3 linked regions of the Arabidopsis thaliana genome follow. The protein of the gene in region 1 interacts with the protein of each later gene in a pairwise test. Each region holds a gene or a part of one and is shown in the gene's direction. Other genes may lie near its edges.

The links. Proteins that work in one complex are often made in the same cells at the same time.
Region 2: the proteins of MPK6 (region 1) and DGK3 interact in binary tests that used the Arabidopsis thaliana proteins (3 or more experiments, as listed by UniProt).
Region 3: the proteins of MPK6 (region 1) and SCRM2 interact in binary tests that used the Arabidopsis thaliana proteins (3 or more experiments, as listed by UniProt).

Annotation. Positions count from the first base shown.
Region 1 is NC_003071.7:18,136,261-18,141,509, forward strand, and holds MPK6 (MAP kinase 6), read left to right. Parts: upstream 1-1,985; 5' UTR 1,986-2,216; coding exon 2,217-2,449; exon of another isoform or gene 2,450-2,670; coding exon 2,671-2,800; intron 2,801-3,249; coding exon 3,250-3,387; intron 3,388-3,478; coding exon 3,479-3,811; intron 3,812-3,891; coding exon 3,892-4,072; intron 4,073-4,260; coding exon 4,261-4,433; 3' UTR 4,434-4,728; downstream 4,729-5,249. Other genes in the region: AT2G43780 (cytochrome oxidase assembly protein), read right to left, coding at 184-405, 732-791; AT2G43795 (corepressor), read right to left, coding at 4,875-5,082, 5,180-5,246. UniProt on the Arabidopsis thaliana protein: Mitogen-activated protein kinase (MAPK) which regulates abscisic acid (ABA) responses in a MAPKKK20-MKK5-MPK6 cascade involved in root growth (e.g. root cell division and elongation) and stomatal response.
Region 2 is NC_003071.7:8,116,738-8,122,459, forward strand, and holds DGK3 (diacylglycerol kinase 3), read left to right. Parts: upstream 1-1,998; 5' UTR 1,999-2,238; coding exon 2,239-2,598; intron 2,599-2,918; coding exon 2,919-3,041; intron 3,042-3,132; coding exon 3,133-3,270; intron 3,271-3,353; coding exon 3,354-3,439; intron 3,440-3,529; coding exon 3,530-3,617; intron 3,618-3,723; coding exon 3,724-3,799; intron 3,800-3,886; coding exon 3,887-3,969; intron 3,970-4,089; coding exon 4,090-4,160; intron 4,161-4,265; coding exon 4,266-4,343; intron 4,344-4,430; coding exon 4,431-4,518; intron 4,519-4,598; coding exon 4,599-4,715; intron 4,716-4,793; coding exon 4,794-4,952; 3' UTR 4,953-5,210; downstream 5,211-5,722. Other genes in the region: AT2G18720 (Translation elongation factor EF1A/initiation factor IF2gamma family protein), read right to left, coding at 1-22; AT2G18721 (uncharacterized protein), read left to right, coding at 262-369.
Region 3 is NC_003070.9:4,382,663-4,387,163, forward strand, and holds SCRM2 (basic helix-loop-helix (bHLH) DNA-binding superfamily protein), read left to right. Parts: upstream 1-1,641; 5' UTR 1,642-2,095; coding exon 2,096-2,980; coding exon of another isoform or gene 2,981-3,061; coding exon 3,062-3,274; intron 3,275-3,356; coding exon 3,357-3,527; coding exon of another isoform or gene 3,528-3,536; exon of another isoform or gene 3,537-3,646; coding exon 3,647-3,730; 3' UTR 3,731-3,989; downstream 3,990-4,501. Other genes in the region: AT1G12855 (F-box family protein), read left to right, coding at 1-949; AT1G12870 (F-box and associated interaction domains-containing protein), read right to left, coding at 4,467-4,501. UniProt on the Arabidopsis thaliana protein: Mediates stomatal differentiation in the epidermis probably by controlling successive roles of SPCH, MUTE, and FAMA. Functions as a dimer with SPCH during stomatal initiation.

The DNA of each region.
Region 1 (5,249 bases):
TCAAGAACATCAAAACCATGTCCTGATCATACATTCTCTTGTTTAATCAATGTATTATAGATTGGACTGAGACTCAAACACAGATGCCACTCGATGTCAGAAACGAGCCACTTTCGTGACAAAAGAAGCTTGGAAAGCAAAGATAAATAACGGGTTTGGTTGGACATATCAAGCCAGTGAGGATTAGACCTTAGATGGAACCTTGGTGTCAGTGTCCACCTGTTTTTGGCCTTCGAACTTGTCTATAGCCACTTGAAGCTCGTCTGTGCCACCAACCGCCCTCATTGTGTAGAAGTATACCCCAAAAACAAAAGCTGTCAAGCCACCAGCTACAACCGTGTTCTTGCCTTTTGGGCCTAGGTAACTAAAACCTGGAAATCCCGCCATTACTTCAAAGTCTTTAACCTGCAAGATCCAATGTGTCACATGTTACAGAAGAGACCCAAGTATCAGAAGTATTAGATTATGTTATATCTTCAATATCACAGTTTCATAAATACTAAGATGAGGAATAACAAGAGAGAACTCTGAAGCATGATATAACAACTTTTGATTACTCTTTTTAACATTGCAGAAGTGACTCCAGAAGCCCTGAGGCATCGCAGGACATTGACATATTGTTCATATAGTGAAAAACAGATTACACAGATTGAATACGACGAATTTTCGAATTGTTATACTTATACCTCATCCTAAGAACTACTACGCCAAGAGTAAGTGATAGTACTCACAACGAGATCAAAGATGAGTACAATCATGGTATGAATGAACAACTGAAAGTTGCAAAACATTTCAGCAAAATAGAACTTTCTTCTGCATCATAATGGAAACGGAGAGAAAATCAATTGGTCACATTCATGCCCATCAGTCTAACATAATTGTCCACAAAATCAGCGCACTTCCCTTTAACGAGTCAATCAACCATAAATCATCAACCAAAGCAAAAATAAAGGCAATTAGAAACCTAACTCTACATCTATACATCCAAAGCTAACATCTTTTAAACGCAGGCTACTGTTACTCAACCAAAGTTCTCAAAACCAGATCAAAATGTCAAAATGAAAGGAGAGCAGAAAATATCAATCAAAAATTGGTTCTTTAAGCAAATTACTCCAAAGTCCACAAAATTAAAATGGAATCGAAAGGAACCTGGTGATGAAGGTTTGATGATCACTCGAAAATCCGAAAGATACAACAAAGCTGATATTTTTTTCTTCTACAGAGAATCGTGCCTAAATGCGACAGAAGCCTAAAGTTTCCCTATTTAGTTGACAACTGGTTCGGTGACGCTTAGTGTCGTGGCCACTTACCAATCTATCGAAAACCCTAAACCCAGTAAGAGCTCTCGTGTGAAAGAGGGATAGAGGCAGAAAGCAAGCCGTCTCGAGTTCGAACCCAACTGTATAACACAAGAGAAGAGATTTATTGCTTCATTATGTAAAAAATATTGAGATGATCCTTGTAATTTTGGAATATTATCAAATTGAACCACCATACTTTTTAAAAATCCAAATAACCCTCAACCAAGCATGTTTCATGTTGTGGCCTCATTCACACTATACGACTATCAAGTTCATCGAAATTCTTGATAGAGAACTTTAAATACTTAAATAGTTAATTTAGATACTATCTAATAACTTTTGGCGGTTTATAAGTTTTTGTGTTTTTCAATCTACATAAAATTTAGCGATTTTTCATGTTACAAAAATAATCTCAAAATTAAAGTACAACCCAAAAACATAATATCAATGATAATAACTACATTTATCTATGATTCATTTTCACCCAACATTTACATTCAAAAAAATGCTGTTGTTACTTGTTAATGATAACGATTAAGGAAGGAAGTCAATGGAACAAAAAAAAAAATGGTGATAAGTCAATGTAAAACGATGCCGTTTGTAACCATAACAGTGTTAAACATGAGAATAAAGGATCAAACTTTGAACAGTGGCTTGCTTGCTTGCTTACACACACGGGTCAAGTGAAGACCCAAAAAAAAATAAAAAAATTAATAGATCCGTACGCACATGACTTTCACTTCTTGTCTCTCAGATCTGTTTTGACCCCAAAACCAACGAATATCAATTTCTCCAATTTCATTCATAATTCACTCACCCCAAAATTACAAAAAAAAAAAAAAAAAAAGATTTTCCATTTCCCTCTTCTCGATCCACCACCACCACCAACCTCAAAAGCTTTCATCTTTACCGGTCATGGACGGTGGTTCAGGTCAACCGGCGGCTGATACAGAGATGACAGAAGCTCCTGGAGGTTTTCCCGCGGCGGCTCCATCGCCTCAGATGCCTGGGATTGAGAATATTCCGGCGACTCTTAGCCATGGTGGTAGGTTTATTCAGTATAACATATTTGGAAACATCTTCGAGGTCACCGCTAAGTATAAGCCTCCGATCATGCCTATTGGCAAGGGTGCTTATGGCATCGTTTGGTAATTTTTCTCCGATTCTTTTGATTTTTGGCTTTTGCTTCTAATTGAAATAAAAAATGATTTTTGTTGATTGGGTTTTGGTAAAGTTGGTTACTTTTGATCCGCAATTTGTAAAATTGATTCCTTTGTATCGTTTTTGAGCTCTAATTATGATTGGGATTTATTTTTGTTTCAATGAAAGCTTTATCCTTTTGTGGTTTTATTTGATTTTGATTTTGCAGTTCGGCTATGAATTCTGAAACTAACGAGAGCGTTGCGATTAAGAAAATTGCTAACGCTTTTGACAATAAGATTGATGCTAAGAGGACTCTCCGTGAGATCAAGCTGCTTCGTCACATGGATCATGAAAATGTCAGTTTTTGCTCTTTCTTTGTTAACTAAGAGTCATCTGTTTATAGAGTCTTATGTAGAACATAATAGGATTGTAGATTTAAATACACTCGAAACATGGTAACTACTAGCTGATGCAAAATTGTTTAGGTAAATAGATGATGTATATATTTGATTGATATTGTATGGGCTGATTAGGTTCTGTGTATGAATGTGTTGTATCTGGTGGTTGCTTATTGCATTTAGATTTAAGGGAATATACATGAATGTTGACACAGTGTGCTTGTATTTTTTTCGGTTTGATACGGATTGTTTCGCGCTTATTCAGTAGTATGATCTTTTCCATCTGCGTCAAGATTTTAAATTCTAGAAATCAAATCGTAAAATGTAACCGTTTATCTATGTTGGCGTTTGCAACGTGTAAAACATTTCCGATTGATAAAACACTTACCATCTTTCTGTTAAATCAGATTGTTGCAATCAGAGATATTATCCCGCCACCATTAAGAAACGCTTTCAACGATGTTTACATCGCGTATGAGTTAATGGACACTGATCTCCATCAAATCATTCGGTCAAATCAAGCATTATCCGAAGAACATTGCCAGGTTTTGAGTTTTGAGATTGTTTGTTGACCTATATAACTCGACTTGAAAACGGGGACTAATTGAACTCCATTTCACTTGTCTCTTTGTGCAGTATTTTCTTTACCAGATCCTCCGTGGATTGAAATACATTCACTCTGCAAATGTGCTTCACAGGGATTTGAAACCAAGTAATCTCCTCCTGAACGCAAACTGCGACCTAAAAATCTGCGATTTTGGGCTAGCTCGAGTCACTTCTGAGAGTGATTTCATGACTGAATATGTTGTCACGAGATGGTACCGTGCACCAGAGCTTCTCTTAAACTCTTCTGATTATACTGCAGCTATCGATGTTTGGTCTGTAGGCTGTATTTTCATGGAGTTAATGGACCGTAAGCCACTCTTCCCTGGACGAGATCATGTCCATCAGCTTCGCTTGCTCATGGAGGTAAGTAGTAACCCTTCTTTGACCCAAAAATAAGCTTTGAAGCACTAAAGAAACAGACCGAGACCATTTTCTTTTTGCAGCTCATAGGAACTCCATCAGAAGAAGAGCTCGAGTTCTTGAACGAAAACGCAAAGCGATACATAAGACAGCTTCCACCTTATCCTCGCCAATCCATCACTGATAAGTTCCCGACAGTGCATCCTTTAGCTATAGACCTTATCGAGAAGATGTTAACATTTGATCCTAGACGGAGAATCACAGGTTAGTCCCTAACCTCTATACCATTTTTAACTTGCAAAATAACTGGAATTGCTTGTACGGATCATTCCAAAATCCCGAAAAAAGATTCAATCTAGTGAAGGAATAATAATAATGAGTTCTTGGTTATTTAAGAGTTAGTTAGTAGTCATCACCTCTTATTGATTCTTGATTCTCGATTCTTGATTCAGTTTTAGACGCATTGGCCCATCCATACCTGAACTCGTTGCACGACATAAGCGATGAGCCAGAGTGTACAATACCTTTCAACTTTGATTTTGAAAACCATGCACTCTCAGAGGAGCAGATGAAGGAACTAATCTACCGCGAGGCGCTTGCTTTCAATCCAGAATATCAGCAATAGTTTGAAGAACAGCATTTGGGAGATGAAGATGAGATAAGGGTTTGGCGTTATTTGGTTTGGACAACATTCTTAAAAGGAGGAAAGATCATTGTTTGTCTTTTGTGTATACTTGTGAGAGATGTTGAAGGGGATGGGTCTCAAACTTTATATTTCAGTCTTTTGGATAATTTGTTCTCTCTGTTTTTTTTTTTCCTATTCGTATTTGTAATTTGCCCTCATTTTGTTGTTGCAGTTATTTAAGACTTAAATTGTCTCAGAAATAGTTATGTTATGATAGCCCACCTTCAATTCCTCTACAAAATACTTGCCATTACTGTCAGCTTTCTTGTTTTATAAAACAGCAGGGAGAGAAATATTGCAGGGAGATGAGGATAGTACAAATCATGTCCTCGGGGTGAAAATTGAGCATTTGATGAACACAATCTCAAGTCTTGCACTGTGTCAACTCTTAAGACTGCCAAAGAATTTTGATTGTGGTGCAGGACCATCAGCCTCATCTTTACTTTGGTTTTGAGTGTCTGCCTCTAGACTTGTGTTTCCTCTCCCTCTTTGGCCTCTTAGAACTTGACCTTGACTTCCTAGATTCGTCTTTGTCACTACTTGAAGATTCAGAAGATGAGCTTGAGTCTGATGATCGCCTTTTCGAATGCTGCAAATCAATAAACACAATGTAAGCTAAAAGCTTCAAGCCAACAGAATTATAGAAGATGTTCAAACTAAACTCGATGCAGTTGTTATGTAAGCACCTTTCTCTTTTTGCTTTTCTTCCTCTTGGAATCTCTGCACTTTCTATCTGTGAGCTCTCTCTCCTTCCTA
Region 2 (5,722 bases), about 10 Mb from region 1:
TCGACATTACGACAGATTTCATCTTAAACACTCTGTTGCAATCAATCAAAGTTCACAACTTTAGAACAACGTTGATCAGAGCCAATACAATAACACTAGAAGTTTCGAAAGGCTGTTCAGAAACTAGGGTTTTTATGCAAGATGGATGGGTTCCGTTCACAATAGTTACGATTCGATTAAATTCAATTAGGGTTGCTAATCTATTTCACTGAAGTTCTTATAAAAATGATTTACACAAACCTGAAGTACGGTAAGAGGTAGATGAAGAAGTTTGCTCGCAGAGATTTCAGAGGAGAAAGCGTGCCGTTGAAGGTTTGTGTTTTTGGTTTTGATAAAGTCAGGTGGCGTGTAAGGTATATTTATAGGTAGGGTTTTATCTTAACGTTTACTGTTTGTCTTTTTCGCCAACTTCATTTTTCCATGTGTCAATAAAACATGTCTTACAATTTTTATTTTATAATTGTCGGTTTCTTACCCGAAATGTTTTTTTATAGGAAAATTTGTGTTAGGTAATTTTGCAATTTCATTTACAAAATATAGCACGCTCCTTTTGAGATGGGCTAAAATCGTTCCAAAGTTTGGGCTTACACGCCTAACCATTGGCCCACTCCAGTTTACTTCTATCTTTCACCAAACTAAGAAACATTGATCCTTGAACAAAAAGTAGTATATGTTTATATGATGACAAAAAAAAAAGAGTAGGAAATCTATGATTCTATAGGAGTGTAAATGAATAAGCTGTGATAAATTTAGGTTATTTTTCTTAACGATATATATTGTTAGATCAAATTTTATAGTTACATCATTTGGAGTATAATGTAAATATGTTCCGCTTTATAATAATGTAAATATGATTTGTAATACTAATGAGAACACACGCTCATTGTCTTCCAGTTCAAGAAATATCTTAAACCCCACTTTTTATCAGCCACCTGAATTTGAGTCTTCCTCTGCCACATAATAAATTGTTTACATGGACCAATTCTTGGTTACAAAACATCTGATATCATATCGTGCAATTAAGAAGGTATTAAATGATGTTTTTTTCTGTGGCATTTGTATATACTTTCAAGTTTCGACCAATTCTATAAGTTAAGAAAAAGGCATTGAGGGAAATTTAGGTTAGAAAAAGTACACAACGATCCCAGCAATGGGAAGTAGCTATCACTTTCAGTGACCCTATTTCTCTGAGTGGGCAATAACATTGTAGGCCCCATTCTGTGGAAAATCCACTAACTTCAATGTCTGCTCTCATTTTCTATTGTCTCCTTCGCTGTTTTTTTACAATTTACGTTACCACCAAAACTATTCCTTTGTTTAATGACGAAAACGCCACTCTTTCTAAGCAAAATGTCAGAGAATTTTGTTTCTTTGTTGGAGAGTTGAAAATATTTTTTACATAGAAAAAGAAACCAATAATGCAGTCAAATAATAATAGGAAGCAAATAATAATGCAAGTATCTCTAATTCTCTATATCAAATTGTATTCAATCATATTCACCAGATGTAACCTCTATAATGGAACCTTTTTGAATATTAAAATATCATTAGATCCTATTCTTACAATGTATCAATCAATTACTAATTAATTTTCTCTGGTTTTCTTGATATAACAATAACGTTAAAAAATCTCATTGTTAATCTCTTTATGCCATCATTAGTATTGTAAGATTTTGTACACTTTAAATTGTAAATTTGATCTTACAGAAACAAAAGATCTACAAATCTTAGTTACAGAAGATAATGGTATTAAACTATACAAATCTTAGTAGTTTAATATTATTAATAATCAAAATTATTCTAAATTAGAACTTTTACAAAATAAACATTTATCAGTCGCTTTCATAAATGTCAAACAATAAAAAAAGAAAAAGAATCAAAGATCTAAAGAGTGGCATTTTTATGACGTCACATTGAAATCCAACCGTGTAAATTCTTTTTTTTTCAATATAAGCAAATTAATTCACACGTTTTGTGCGCTGTCTTCGAAACTAAATCATTTATAAAAAAGACAAAACAGACAAGAAAATACAAACTGTCAAAAGAAGATTTTATATTGGTTGATTTGAAATCTCTCAGCAAAGAAGAAGAAGAAAGATTAAAAAAAAACAATCCTTTATTATTTTTCATTTCAACTCCAATTTTGATTATCTGGGTTTCGAATATTCCTCATTTTCTCCAATCACAGGACGAAAAGTAATCATCTTTTTGTCTTTTCTTCTCCGGCGAGAGACTACAATGGACTCTCCGGTATCAAAAACCGATGCATCGAAAGAGAAATTCGTGGCTTCACGACCATCAACGGCTGATTCAAAGACGATGAGAGGTTGTGGACTCGCGAATCTGGCATGGGTTGGTGTAGATAAAGTAGAGCTTCGTCAGAGGTTGATGATGCCTGAGTATCTTCGTCTCGCTATGCGTGACTGTATCAAACGCAAAGATTCCTCGGCTATTCCTGATCATTTACTTCTTCCTGGTGGTGCTGTTGCTGATATGGCTCCTCATGCTCCTATGGTTGTTTTCATTAACCCCAATTCTGGTGGTCGTCATGGTCCTGTTCTTAAAGAGAGGCTTCAACAGTTGATGAGCGAGGAACAGGTTTTGCTCTCACTGAACTTGTATTTCAAATCTTTTTCTTTGGGTTTTTGGGGGAATTTCGAATCTAATTTGTATCTACTTTGTGTTTTGATTATGTTAGTTTGGAAACTTTCTTAAAGTCTCTGGCTTTTAAGTTTTTAATGCTTGATTTATATGTTTATGCTTAGCTGATGTTAGATCTAGTGTTTTGTTGGAACTTTGAAGGATGAGTTACGTTTAAAGATTGAGTCTTTTGGAAAGCTGAGTGATGTTGATGTTGTCAAGTTATTGGTTTGAGCTTTTGATATTGAAACTTCATGGTGACTTTTGTGTTGATACAGGTGTTTGACCTCACGGAAGTGAAGCCGCATGAGTTTGTTCGATACGGGTTGGGGTGTTTGGAGAAAGTGGCAGCGGAAGGAGATGAATGTGCAAAAGAATGCAGAGCAAGGTTGAGGATTATGGTGAGTGTATTGACCATATTTTTCTCCAATCTCTATAGATCCACTTGAATGTTTTTAGCAATCAGAATTGTGAATGGAATTGGTTGGATAGGTTGCAGGAGGTGATGGTACTGTTGGTTGGGTTCTTGGATGTCTTGGAGAGCTTAATAAAGATGGAAAGTCGCAAATTCCTCCTGTTGGAGTTATTCCTCTCGGTACAGGGAATGATCTTTCAAGGAGTTTTGGTTGGGTGAGTTGTGTTTTCTTTGTTCTCTCTTATGTTGTCGTGACAAAACTTTTGAATTGGTACTGACTATGGTATCTCTTCTTCAGGGTGGTTCGTTTCCTTTTGCGTGGAGATCTGCTGTTAAAAGAACACTCCATCGCGCAAGTATGGGTCCAGTTGCTAGACTTGACAGGTAAAAGTCTTATTTTGCTCAAAACATTTAGCTTTTATTGTATTTCTCTTGTTGTAAAAATGTATGCGCTTTGGTTATGTGGTGTTGCAGCTGGAAGATTTTAGTGTCAATGCCATCTGGAGAAGTCGTAGATCCTCCTTATTCTTTAAAACCCGCTGAAGAAAACGAACTTGATCAGGTTTTGCTCTATTTCATTAGGCTTGCTTCTTCTCATTGAATCATCAGCATGTGATTTTGTAAATTGCCACGGTTTAGTAATTAACCAGGCTTTATGGTGGTTTCAGGGTTTGGACGCGGGAATTGATGCGCCTCCACTTGCAAAGGCTTATGAAGGTGTTTTCTACAATTACTTAAGCATAGGTTTGTTGAACTTCTCTTTTTGATATCCTAAACAATTTTCACAATTGTTTTTCTGACCAGATTCTTGTGTTTGTCTGGTTTGTTTAGGTATGGATGCTCAAGTTGCATATGGCTTCCACCATCTTCGCAACACTAAACCATATCTTGCTCAAGGCCCTATTTCAAATAAGGTTTGTTTATTATATTTGCACCTAAACTTTGGACTCATTATTTGTCTTTGTTAAAAGCTAAAGTAGTTATGTTGGTTTTGAGAAACGACATTACCAACCACACAATGTTTGCTTTTGCAGATTATATATTCAAGTTTTGGTTGCAGTCAGGGTTGGTTTTGCACGCCTTGTGTCAACGATCCAGGTTTAAGGTTCGCCATTTCGACTCTTATTGTGTAGTTGAACTTGTGTGTAAGTCTCTGCTTAAGCCCTTTGTTGTGTTGTTGACCCCTTGTTTGTGCTATATGAATTTGCAGGGGACTTAGGAACATAATGAAAATTCACATCAAAAAGGTTAACTGCTCTCAGTGGGAAGAGATCGCAGTCCCGAAAAAGTAAAAAACAGTTTTCGATATATGATTTATGTATTACAATCTTTGATATCAATGCTTAAAACCTGATGCTATGGATTTCTCTTGTAGTGTGAGATCAATTGTCGCATTGAATCTTCACAGCTATGGAAGTGGAAGCCATCCTTGGGGCAATCTAAAACCGGACTATCTAGAGAAGGTATTGTTTCTGTTCCATTTCATCATATATGAACTCAGTTCTCTGATGTTAACCCGAATGTTTTCTTTGGTTTTTCTCAGAGAGGCTTTGTGGAAGCACATTGTGATGATGGTTTGATAGAGATTTTCGGTTTTAAGCAAGGATGGCACGCGTCATTTGTCATGGCTGAGCTCATCTCTGCCAAGCACATAGCTCAGGTAACTTCAAAAGACACTGGTCAATGTATAATCTTTTTAGCCATGTGTTTGACTGTTTCATTTTGGTGATCATTTCAGGCTGCTGCGGTAAGATTTGAGCTAAGAGGAGGTGACTGGAGAGACGCATTCTTGCAAATGGATGGTGAGCCATGGAAGCAACCAATGAGCACTGAGTACTCAACATTTGTGGAGATCAAGAAGGTTCCTTATCAATCTCTGATGATAAATAATGAATGATTGAGATTCAAAGCTGGATTCTTTGTACAAAGCTAATTGTTTTGTATTTGGATTTGATTCAGTTAGTCATAGATATAGCCTAAGCTTTTTAGTCTTCTTTTCTTTTAAATCTGAGATTGTGACCATTTTTCTCTTTTTAATTTCTGCTTATTGTTGGTTTTGTACATTTTTGTGTTGTGAGGAATGAAGTTTGTTTATTTATAAGAATGTGGGAAGATAATATTTGGTCAAATTTCAATCTCTCTTCAATCTTTGTAATTCTAGCATTGAGCACATAGATGTGATTCTTTGTCATATTTTTATTTATTTTAACACTAGTTCGACTGAGAACCAATTTATCATCGACACCAATTTCTAAGTAAGAATATTTTTAATAATTATCATTATTAGTCGTATATTTTTACCAGAATAATAAAAAATTAAAAACCTAAGTTAATAAACCACACAAAAAAGTTTTTCTCTCTTCGCTCTCTCGTAGTTTGTAAAGATAGAAACTGAAATTTCTTTTGTTTTTGTTAACCGGATAGTTTTCCGGTGAGTCGCCGTCCCGTTTAATTCGGGCTTTCGTCCGACATCTTCTAGCTACGTTAGTGGAGATGGTTGGCTTTTTGTATGGCATCGTTGGCTAACTTAGCGACGTTGGCCAGCTTCCGTACGGCAGCGTTGGGCTTACACTAACAGCGTTGGTCATCTTTGTTTTTGTTTTGTTACTTCAAAGGTTTGATGATGAAGCTTTATGGCATGCAGAATCGTCAGATCTGAAGAGGGTT
Region 3 (4,501 bases), on another chromosome or scaffold:
CATTGGTTTTAGTACAATCTGTTTGGAATCGGCTTCTATTCTGTCCTCCACTCTTATCACTTTCCCTCAAGGATTTCAACACCGGATCTATGCTTCTGAAAGCTGTGACGGACTTTTCTGCATCCATTCCCTAAAAACACAAGCCATATATGTAGTTAACCCGGCCACTCGGTGGTTTCGACAACTTCCTCCGGCTAGGTTTCAGATTTTGATGCAAAAGTTATACCCCACTCAAGACACTTGGATTGACATAAAACCAGTAGTCTGTTATACAGCATTCGTGAAGGCCAATGATTACAAATTAGTGTGGTTGTATAATTCTGATGCCTCGAATCCAAACCTGGGAGTTACAAAGTGCGAGGTTTTTGATTTTAGGGCAAACGCTTGGAGGTACTTGACTTGCACTCCAAGCTATCGGATATTCCCTGACCAAGTACCAGCAGCTACAAACGGGTCTATTTATTGGTTCACGGAACCATATAATGGCGAAATAAAAGTGGTAGCTCTCGATATTCACACTGAAACGTTTCGTGTGCTACCTAAGATTAATCCGGCCATTGCTAGTTCAGATCCTGACCATATCGACATGTGCACTTTGGATAATGGTTTGTGCATGTCGAAAAGAGAATCGGATACGTTGGTCCAAGAGATATGGAGGTTAAAATCATCAGAAGACTCATGGGAGAAGGTTTATACCATAGATTTGCTTTCTTGTTCTTCTTCTTCTTTATCTGAGTTCCGCGATGGATTTAATTGGACACGAAAAGATTTGGTTGAGCCATCCACACCAGTGGCGATATGCAAGGACAAGAAGATTCTGCTCTCACATCGCTATGCCCGCAATATGATCAAATACGATCCCCAAATAAAATCTATCAGTTTAATTTACCAACCTCCTTTGTGTAGAAGATATGCTTCTTATTTTCAGAGTTTGATCTCTCATATATAAAATGCTTTGATGTATTTGGAAGCATGTAATGTAAGAAACAAAGCATTAATTGTTTGGATTGTTATATTATCCGATAGCATGCTGTTATTCATAAATCATAATAAACCATACTTATTTCGCCAAATGACACTATACTTACCAAAAATCATACTACTTTATGAAATGATACAGATTTTTCAAAAAAATGAGGACGAGTATTTTCGTTAATCCACACAAAAATCAGTTTCATTCTGTGTGTGGATGTAAAAGGAAGATGAAATATAGATTTTATCTTAAAGGGACCATTGCCTCGTTGTTAAAAAAAAGGGACCATTGCATCCGACATCTTTTATCCGTATTAATCTTGAAATGTTTATTCAATATACTTTGTTGCAAGATTTTTTTTTATTCAATATACTTTTGTTATTCATGTCAAAAAAAATTTGATTAATAGCCAATCTATGTAACAATCTAAACACAAGTTTGCCGCTACAATTAATATGAGTCTATGACACACATCACAAAGTTTTGAGAGATTAAAATTCTTTAGTCCCAAATACTTCAAATATAGAAAAAAACTACAATTTTTCTTTTCAAAATTTGTTTATTTTACGGTGACAATTTTTATGATTGCCAACCAAATCCCACATTATTAAGTTTTTCAACCAAACTGAACTGTATACTTATTTTGATTATTAACGGTCGGATTTAGCTTTAACTAAATCATCTTCCTAAGCTCTATCACTGAAATAATTCTGCAGACAAAAAAAAATGAGAGAGAGGTGGCAAAGATGAAGTGGAGGTGAGAGACGGAAAGCAAAAACAATAGTCACGAGAATCAACACCAACTCTTAAACCAAGATAGACCAAGAAACCAAACAGAGTAAATAAATGGTGGCCTTGACAACATTGAAATCCCCAAAAATCTCAACTTTTTAGGGTTTTCGAGCTCTGAAATCTCTCTATCTTTCTTCTTCAGATTTCTCACTTTTTTCTTCTTCATAAGATCCTCGTGATTCCACTTTATAACGTACGCCTCCTTTCAAGAAAAATCTCTCTCTATATTATCTACGTTTCTCTCGCCTTGTCTCCTTTTGAGGTTCCATTTCTACTTCTCTCCAAAATTCGAAACTTTTCCCACTCTCTCTCTCTCTCTACTAGTTTGACATGAACAGCGACGGTGTTTGGCTTGACGGCTCCGGTGAATCTCCGGAAGTTAATAACGGTGAAGCTGCGTCTTGGGTCAGAAACCCAGATGAAGACTGGTTCAATAACCCACCACCACCACAACACACTAATCAAAACGACTTCAGATTCAATGGTGGCTTTCCTTTAAACCCCTCAGAGAATCTGCTTCTTCTTCTTCAGCAATCGATTGATTCTTCTTCTTCTTCTTCTCCGTTATTACATCCTTTCACACTCGACGCTGCTTCACAGCAACAACAACAACAACAACAACAACAGGAACAGTCTTTCTTAGCTACGAAAGCTTGTATAGTTTCTCTTCTCAACGTCCCAACCATCAATAACAACACTTTCGATGACTTCGGCTTTGACTCTGGTTTCTTAGGACAACAATTCCATGGAAATCATCAATCTCCGAACTCGATGAATTTCACTGGCTTAAACCACTCAGTACCGGATTTTCTTCCAGCTCCGGAAAACAGCTCAGGATCATGTGGATTGAGTCCTCTGTTCTCAAACAGAGCAAAGGTTTTAAAACCGTTACAGGTAATGGCTTCATCTGGCTCGCAGCCAACTCTGTTTCAGAAACGAGCTGCAATGCGTCAGAGCTCGAGTAGCAAAATGTGCAATTCTGAGAGTTCTTCTGAAATGAGGAAATCGAGCTACGAGAGAGAGATTGACGATACTAGTACCGGAATCATCGATATCTCTGGATTGAATTACGAATCTGATGACCATAATACTAATAACAACAAAGGTAAGAAGAAAGGAATGCCTGCAAAGAATCTTATGGCTGAGAGAAGAAGAAGGAAGAAGCTTAATGATAGGCTTTACATGCTTAGATCAGTTGTTCCCAAGATCAGCAAAGTAACCAAAAAGATTCTTCCTTTTTTCTCTTTGTTCTCCTTAATAACTTCTTGTGTCACTAATTTTGGGTTGCAAATGTAGATGGATAGAGCATCAATACTTGGAGATGCTATTGATTACCTCAAAGAGCTTTTACAAAGAATCAACGATCTTCACACCGAACTTGAATCTACTCCACCGAGTTCTTCAAGCTTGCATCCGTTAACACCGACTCCACAAACGCTGTCTTACCGTGTTAAGGAAGAGTTGTGTCCATCTTCCTCCTTGCCAAGTCCTAAAGGCCAACAACCAAGAGTAAGAATAAGCTCAATTGCTTTCTAGTGGACAAAGCTGTATTCTTTAATTTTCTTAGTAACGCTTCTTTGTTTTGATATAGGTTGAGGTTAGATTAAGAGAAGGAAAGGCAGTGAACATACACATGTTCTGTGGACGTAGACCAGGTCTTTTACTTTCCACCATGAGAGCTTTGGATAACTTAGGATTGGATGTTCAACAAGCGGTGATTAGCTGTTTCAATGGTTTTGCTTTGGATGTTTTCCGCGCTGAGGTAATATAGTTGTTAAGATGCTATGCTGATCACTGATTAGTAAAACTAGCAGTCAAAGAATAGTTATTTGAGAGAATGATTAGTATACAAGTAACAACATGTTTTGTGTTTCTAATCAGCAATGTCAAGAAGACCATGACGTGTTACCTGAACAAATCAAAGCAGTGCTTTTAGATACAGCAGGTTACGCTGGTTTGGTTTGATTGCGAAGCAGAAGGAAGCATCTGTGTGGAACAGAGCTAGATCTAAGTCCTTGTTCTGTTTTAGTCAGCAATTTTCTTACTTAGTTTCATCAATTTCAATCATGTATGGAAGATGATAACTGTTTTATTTTAGCTATGAGAACATGTGTTTGGGGAACAATAGTTGCAACCTTTGAGCAAAATGCCATTGTTTCTCAATAATTCTACTTTGCTTTTCATTTATATGTTGTTTGCAAGAAGAGAGCAATGTTGATTTTCATTGATAAAACACACATGAGTCTGTCATGAGAAAAGGCTAAACAAAATATTAAGAAATGCACAATTCATAGGCAAACGCTCTGATATATCAATTTTTCAGAACAGAGATGAATCTCTATGTAAAATTCATATTCTTTATAAATGTCTGAGCTTGGTTCAGTTTAGTAAGATTTGGTTTGTGCCGTGGGCGACTGAAGATGTTAAAGACAAAAACATAATGGAACCAGATAAACTTGGCTAATTGGTAAGAATTAAAAGAAAATCTATGGTATAAATCTTCTCCCATGTGTCTTCTGATGATTTCTTCAGCCTCCAAATATTTTGGATCAGCTTATCTCCTTCTCTTTTCGACATGCACAAAGCATTATCCAGAGTGTATATATGGCTAGGATCTAAACTAGCAATAGCGGGAACTATCTTTGGCAGCAACCGGAATTTTTCTGTAATGATATCGAAAACTATTACTTTGATTTCAGCATTATATAGCTCTGTGAACCAATAAAGCGTCCCGTT